Tamandua tetradactyla: one gene and its partner. The protein of the gene in region 1 purifies or fractionates together with the protein of each later gene. This does not show direct contact. Links are inferred from orthologs where the notes say so. Each region holds a gene or a part of one and is shown in the gene's direction. Other genes may lie near its edges.

What was found. Proteins that work in one complex are often made in the same cells at the same time.
Region 2: the proteins of CTNNB1 (region 1) and TOP2A purify together in Homo sapiens (affinity purification with mass spectrometry; 3 studies listed by BioGRID and IntAct, with this or other methods). This does not show direct contact. The link is inferred for Tamandua tetradactyla from reciprocal best matches to the Homo sapiens genes CTNNB1 and TOP2A.

The regions. Positions count from the first base shown.
Region 1 is NC_135341.1:46,094,919-46,098,664, reverse strand, and holds the start of CTNNB1 (catenin beta-1), read left to right. Parts: upstream 1-1,315; 5' UTR 1,316-1,516; exon of another isoform or gene 1,517-1,726; intron 1,727-3,746. UniProt on the Homo sapiens protein: Key downstream component of the canonical Wnt signaling pathway.
Region 2 is NC_135332.1:26,944,553-26,948,298, forward strand, and holds the start of TOP2A (DNA topoisomerase 2-alpha), read left to right. Parts: upstream 1-1,312; 5' UTR 1,313-1,456; coding exon 1,457-1,477; intron 1,478-1,496; exon of another isoform or gene 1,497-1,638; intron 1,639-2,348; coding exon 2,349-2,504; intron 2,505-2,699; coding exon 2,700-2,790; intron 2,791-3,097; coding exon 3,098-3,161; intron 3,162-3,746. UniProt on the Homo sapiens protein: Key decatenating enzyme that alters DNA topology by binding to two double-stranded DNA molecules, generating a double-stranded break in one of the strands, passing the intact strand through the broken strand, and religating the broken strand.

The DNA.
Region 1 (3,746 bases):
CTGTACTTATGTACAAAGGCTATTGTTTGTATTCATTAATTATAGTCCTAGGATAAAAGCCCCAAGATAACTTTCACTGTTGCTGGTTGTACTCTCCCCATCGTTTTACAGGAAAAAAAAAAACATAAAATGAGACTAAAGAAAGTGAATCAATCATAATTGTTTCAGTTTCGACAAATGCCAATCTTGCTTGCTTACAATGGAGGCATTTCCAAAGGACATGAAGACCCAACTTCAGCCTATCAAAACGAATTAGAAAATGGGTTTTTTGTTGTTGTTGTTTTTGAATAGAAAACTAGTTTTTAAAAAAAATCGAACCTGCCTAATCGGTAGCCCCTTCTATAAACACACACGGATTTCTCAAATAAGTACTACCGGAGAAATTCACCTCCACAAATAAATCTGATACTTAGTGGAACTAGATAAAAATGGAATCTATAAAAATTAACCTAATTGGCAGGGGTCTCCAGCTAATCCATTTTGATTAGTCATTTGTTCACAGTAGGCATTTATAAGGACTTGTTGAATTGCGGGCTTGGCGCACATTCTAACGAGAGTTCACAGCTTTCGGGAGTGGGATAGTAGGTGGCTCGGCCCTGGTCAGTCACGGCCACAGCCACGGTGAACAGCGGACTGGGACGCGGGGTCCACGATTCGGACAGCTGGGGGCTCTTTGGGGTGGCGGGCGCGTAGGCTGCGAGCCAGGCCCTGCGCCTAGCGTTGTGGCACAGAGCGGAAAGGCGGCGGAAGCCCCTAACTCTCTCCCCGCCGGAGCCTCCGAACAGACAGCGGGACGAGGGAGGTGGGGGGGCAGCGGCGGCGTCCAGGCAGCAGTCGATGCCTGCCGGGCCCAGACCCAAACTTCCATCCTCCCGAGACCCGCCCTGCAAGTCCACCAGCTCCGCGCGGTCCCCGAGGGCCCGGGCCGAGGTGCTGCCTCCCGCGGGCAGCGCCCAGTGAGGCCCATATCTGCTCGGGGGACACACCGGGTGGGGGGCGTAGGGCTAGGGACAGTGGAAGCTCATCTCGGTGCTGCCCTCCCCTGACCCCAGCCCGCGGGGACTCCGGCTTCCCAGCTCGCACCATGGCGCCACCCTAAGTTACACTCCGCTTCCGCGCAGCACCCACCACCCCACTAAGGGGCGCACAGGGAGCAAGCGGATAGCCCACCCGGCCCGGGAAGGACAAGCAGCAGCGAAGGGCTTCGCGTCGCTGGAACTACTTTCCGCCGCCCGCCCGCGCCCCGCCCCTTGCACTCACGCGGTGGAACGCTCCGCGCCATGCCGGCGGCGGCAGGATACAGTGGCTTCAGCGCGTCTTATAAGAGGTCCTTGTGCGGCGCCATTTTAAGCCTCTCGGTCTGTGGCAGCGCGTTAGCCAGGCCTTGGGAGCGGAGAGTGAGGGGAGGCGGAGACGGAGACGGTGAGAGGTCCGAGGAGCTCCAGTCCCCGCCGATCCCCGACCGCAGGCCGAGGACGCCCAGACTCTCGCGGCGGGCGGACCCTGTACCCCTGAGGTGCTTGGTGCTTCTTTCCTTAACCTTCTAGGGCTGCTCCCGCCTCTTGTTCTGAACCAAACTTCGTCGCGGCGCGCAGTCCTGGCGGCGGGCGGGGAGGTGGGCCCGGCGCTGCCAGGAGGCCCGGGTTGGGGAGCCTGGGGGTATGGGCTGAGGTCGCCGGGAGGCGGCGGGGGCGGGCCGCGCTCGGGGGGTAGAGGGCGGTGGCGGTGCCCGGGATCCGGTCGCGCTGCCCCTAGGAGACCCGGGGGGCGCCGCTTGCGAGGAGGGGGCGCCGCAGGCATGCGTCCAGGAGCCCGGATGGCGGGCGGGAAGGGGGAGCCGTGTTTCCGTCCGGGGCCCCGGCCGCGGCCGAGTTTGGGGGAGGGACCCTGCGCCTCAGGATACGCCGGGGCTGGGGTGGGGGGCGGGGTGGGGGTGGGAGCCTTCGCCTTCGCAGCCCAAGAGGGGAGTTGGGGTTTGGGCGCTGGGGCCGGGACACTCCCCGCTAGGTGCCCTCTGCGGTAGGGATGGGGCCATTGGACTTTCTCTCCAGATTCCTCCTTTCGTTCCTCAAGAGAATTATTATCATGCTCTAATGCCCAGCCTATGTGAGTTTGGCATTGGAGCTTGTTAAAACCGTACCAACTTTAAACCTCAGAGGAACCAAACTCTTAGTGCAGCCGGTGCGATGCGCCAGGAGGGTTTCCACGTATCAAATCCGTGTCTTGTACCTCTATCTTTTCGTGTCGTGCAGGTGATTCCAGTAGCGACGCGTGTTGATGTACTGGGAGTCTTCTGGGTTTATGGCGGTGGGTGTGAGACCTTGGTAAAATAAGGGGGGAATGGTGTCGCGGTTTACGGTTTCATATAAATGAACCGCGGGATTCAGCCTCTGCTTGGAAAATGTTGTTCGTAGAAATAATTTACTCAGTTTTGTGACAGTTAAACTTGATTTTTGGAGCAGTTTTCTTTTCAGTGGAGCGAAATTGTCCAAATGAAATTTAAGTACGGCAACTTCTTTCGGTGTTTTGTCTGGGGAAAGGACTTTTTGAACAGAGGCTTTCGAAGTTAAGTTCCCACAGACCGCTTCTGAATCGGCTTGAGAGCTTTGTCAGTCTGGTGTAGTACTTTCCTTCGTTTTCTGTTGGCGTTTGGAGGGAGGCATTGTCTCATACTTTGTATCTTCCAGACATCTGTGGTCTCCCCTCCCCCTGAGTTTTTGCGTGGTGAATGAAGGGGGCCTGGGCTGCTGGTATGCAGAGGTCGGCAAAAGGAAATCGAGGAGTGGTTTTAGTGAAATGAGAGCTTTGTATCATGAATAGTGGTGGCTTAGACTAGACATCAGCTTGAAGAGACAGCAGCGTTTCCTTTGATAGTCTCGGCTAATGTTTTTCAGATACTAAATTAAAGTATCTTGTCTAGGATTTAGGAAGCCATTTGATTGTCACTTGGTTAACATTAATATATCTTTAGATATCCTTATGTTGTCTTAATTTTTTTTCTAAGAAAGTAATATTAGATATAGCTTGAAAGGTTAATTGCATTATGCTGCTGTTTATTATTTGCTTAAATTAGTGAAACTTTCGTATTTCAGAGTGTTTAAACTTATTCTGAACTAACTTAGTAATAAATCTATTTTACTTTTACATTTAAAACACAAAATCTTTGGTATAAAAAAATTCTGTCAGGGTTTATTTTATAGACTGTTCTTTCACACTAGACAAAATTTGATTACTTTGTACCCGATATTCATTATTTTGACCTAGTCTTTGTTCTGAAGGCCACATACAAGGACAAGGCCCTAAAGTGATTGCAACAGTAACTGAAGAACTTGAAAAACTTGCAGAAGACTGTTCTATAGGATTAAAGGAATGCTCAAACTATTCAAGTCTGAAGTCCTTGAGGGAGGAAATAAAGAACTGTGCTAGAAAGCTTAGCATAGTATGTAATTTAGACTCCGCAAGGAGTCGGAGGCCTGAGAATCTTCCAGAGGCTAAAACAGTTATTTTAAATCGTTTTCAGAGGTAACCAACTTTTGTTTTTTCATATAGTGGCTAATAAAAATGAAGCATTTAACAGGGTTCAGGTGTCAAGAAGCATCCGTTTTCCTTTTTTTTTTTCTTTTGAACTAATTATCTGATTGCTTCATTTACCAAGATCATTATGTAGAAAAATTTACATTCCAGTGTTAGAACTTACTGAACAGTGATTTGAGCTTTCTGTTTTTAGTGATGACTGCAGTAAAAAT
Region 2 (3,746 bases), on another chromosome or scaffold:
CATATTCCCCTCCTCACCAGTCTTCCCTTGGGCTTTGCCAGCAGTGGGCACAGGGCATGCTGGAGTTATTTCACAACCTCTGGTTTCCTATAGAAGAAAAGGGGAATTAAATCCACAAATTGCATTACCCGTCTAAGGAAAATTCCTGCTTTCTGATTCTGATATCCTTAGCCTCCTATTCTAAATGCCTCCGCTCATCTCATATAACCAATCTTCACAGAACTGAGGGAATACCATTATTATCGACAATTTTTAGTAGAGGAAACTGAAGCACCACAAAACTTGGCAAATTAAGGAGCCAGGACTGAAACCCATGCAGAATATAGGAGTAGTGATTGGGAAGGGGGTGTTTCAGAGAGAATTAGCAATCAAATTATGTTACTTTTTTCTATCATCTCCTTTTTCTTTTGTCTTCTTAACATTGTGGATTGACAAGTATAAATCCACTCGAACATTTATACCTCAGAGTAATAAACTAAAAAGATTGTCAATTTGGCGTTTCCTCACCAAACGTGAACAGTTATTCTGGATTGCAGAATTCAGAATTTAACACTGAAGAGAGCAAAAGGAACAAGTATTCAGGCATCCCCGGGCAGTCTGAGTGAAAAGATTTGAACATATCTCGCTGCAAAACTGGCAAAACCTTGAAGCGGCAACTATAAACTATTCCTTTTATCAGTTGCAGTCCATAGCTGCTGAATGTTATACTGTTTTGTATGACCTCTCTACATCCTACTATACGAAAACTAAAAACTACAGCTATATCACAAATCGTTTCTTTGGAAATAAATTCTTCGGGAAGGCAAGTTAGATAGGCGCCGGACCCTCTTCGCTTAGCCAACTCTCTAAGGCTGTGTCCTGAAAGCTGGCGCTCAGTTTCCTCAGGAAGGTGGAGCTGAAACTCCTATTCCTTTCACTAACTACCTCAGGAGGTTTTCAGATTGCAGAGACTAGAAATAGGTTAGTGGTTCCAGAGAAATAAATATCCTCTCTACCCTCTTCACTTTCTCCTGGCAGCTTGCACCTCAGGTTTTAACCCCTTGCCGCTTCCACAGGAACTCTCTTCAGTGTTTTCCTCACAGAAAGAACGACCCCAACTCACTGGCCACATCCCCCGTCTGTCTCCCCGCTTCTACGCCTAGTGGTGCCTTTCGAAAACGCTTTAGACCCGCCTCCTTTGCCTAATTGGTTCATTCGAACAGGCTCTGGCCAACTCGGCCGTTTATAGGTGGTTTAGATGTGGACAGAGGTGATTGGTTCTTCTGGACGGCGTCGGAGAAAGCGAGTCAGGGATTGGCTTATCTGGCTTAGGCGGGCTAGAGGAGGTTCAAAGGGGAGTAGGCGAGCGCGCGTAACCGACGGCTTCTGAAGAGAAGTGGCCTGGTCTCCGGTCGTTTCGCGGCTGACGCCCGTTTAGTCACGTTCAGGGTCCTCGAGCCCCTTCACGACTGTCACCATGGAGGTGTCACCATTGCAGGTACGGCTCGCGGAAGGGCCCGGGTCGTGGAGCCTCAGCGTATCGGGGCATCCCCCCGGCTGCCGGTGAGGGGTGAGGGCTCCTGGGCGCCCGCGCCGCTTCGGAACTCCTCCACGGGCTGAGGGCCCGTATTCCCTGGACTCTGGGTGATCGTGAATGAGGTGAAACCCCTTCTTGGTGCTAACATTGAAGTATTATCGGCTAGACTGCAGTCAGGGTGTTGGTTTTGTTTTACTGTCTCTAGGGGCGGGATTCAGTTCGTTCTGTGGTAAATCTGCGTTACGTGGGCTGTGTGTGGCTTTAGTAGCACATGCTTTCCCCTCCTCCCCTCTGGGAAGAGTGCGGTTGAATGTCGCTGATCTCGGAAAGTGCAGCGCCTGGCTCAGCGTTCCCGCTGGAGTTGCTGGCAGACCCGAGTTGCTCAAAAAATGACCTTCCTGTGCTCAAAACGTGAACGCGGCCAGATGATTCAGTTGATGTCATCTCTCACACTCTGCTGCTGCAGAGCTAGAATCTGTTTATGTGCTTGGAATATAGTAGGCACTTGGTAAATAATTGTGGACTAGATGGACAAAGTGGTGTTTTTATCGATACCATCTAGAGCCGTGATCAAGGAAAATGTTTTCATGTCAGATACACTTGGTGAGATAATATGTCTATTTAAAAATGACACTTGAGTGCTAAGCTGCAGTTTACCTTGTCATCTTTGTACAAAACTATGTACATTTCACCAATACCTACCAAAAGACTGCAATTTGTTATTGTGTTGTTTAAGCATATCATTATGGCAGACATTAGTTTCTGATACATCTATGATTTAAAAGCCCTTTTCTTTAAAAAAAAATGCTTTTCTTCTGTTTTTTTTTGCTAGCCTGTAAATGAAAATATGCAAATCAGCAAAATTAAAAAAAATGAAGATGCTAAGAAAAGACTGTCTGTTGAAAGAATCTATCAAAAGAAAACACAACTGGAACATATTTTGCTCCGCCCAGACACTTACATTGGCTCTGTGGAATTAGTGACCCAGGTAAAACATGCTAATTAAGTGCAATTACTTATCCGTTAAAATATGTACTTTTCCTCTTATGTTCCAGCATCGCTGGAACTGGCCTAAGTGATTACATATGTACTATAGTATTTAATCCAGAATACTTTATAGTAATCGTGATGATAAACAAGAATATAAAGTAAAAGTAACTATACTTCTTTGCCTTATTTCTAGCAAATGTGGGTTTTCGATGAAGATGTTGGCATTAACTTTAGGGAGGTCACTTTTGTTCCTGGTTTGTACAAAATCTTTGATGAGATTCTAGGTGAGTAAATTCTTTTCATATGAAGATCTACAGGTCAAACCCTTCATAAGAAGTATCATTCCTTACCAGATCCTCTGTAGCCAGAGGTTCTATCATTTCAAACAACAGTTGGTGACGGTGGGGTAGTCTCTGGAGTCCAGGAAACTGAGTTCTTTCCTAGAAGCAGTGCTTTGAACAAAAATTTTCTAAATGAAAAACCTTGTTAATGCTATTGCTGTGCTGTCTGGGAAATTTTTTTCCTAAATCTTTGAATTAATGTTCTAAAAAGTACTTCAATTTCTTACAAATATGTTGTTGTTTTTTTCAGTCAATGCTGCGGACAACAAGCAAAGGGATCCCAAGATGTCTTGTATTAGAGTCACAATTGACCCGTATGTCTTTTGCTTAGCCTTTTGTTCGTAATATCTTGTTGTTGTCGTTATTCTTAGCTACATTTACTTTGATATTAGTGAAGTTGACCTTTTTTTTTTTTTACGGAAGTTTACAAAACCTACAGAAACGCAAACCACTAAAATGAACAACCCTTATGGTACCTACTACATAGATCAAACGGTTACTGACATTTTGTCATATTTTTTCCATCTATAAATATTGTTTAATGAATTCAAAATAAATTTACTAACATTATGACACTTAAGCCCTAAATAACTTCAGCAAGCATCTCCAATCAAGAATTAGCCTAAAATATTTTGGCGTCTGGAATTTTTAGCATTTTCACATAATGCTATTCAAATAGTAAGCCAGCAGGTGGTGGTAGAGAATAATATAAGACTTTTTTTACGGTATTGTTAAATACTATTTCGAATTAGAACCATAATGTATGCCCAGTTATAGCTAAAATGTCTGAGAATTAACCTAAAATGATAACTAAGAGATAAGTTCAAATAAACTTGCAGCATTTTGTTCGTCAGCTGGACAGTTTATAATTGAGCATGTTTTTGCCTTTTGTATTTGCT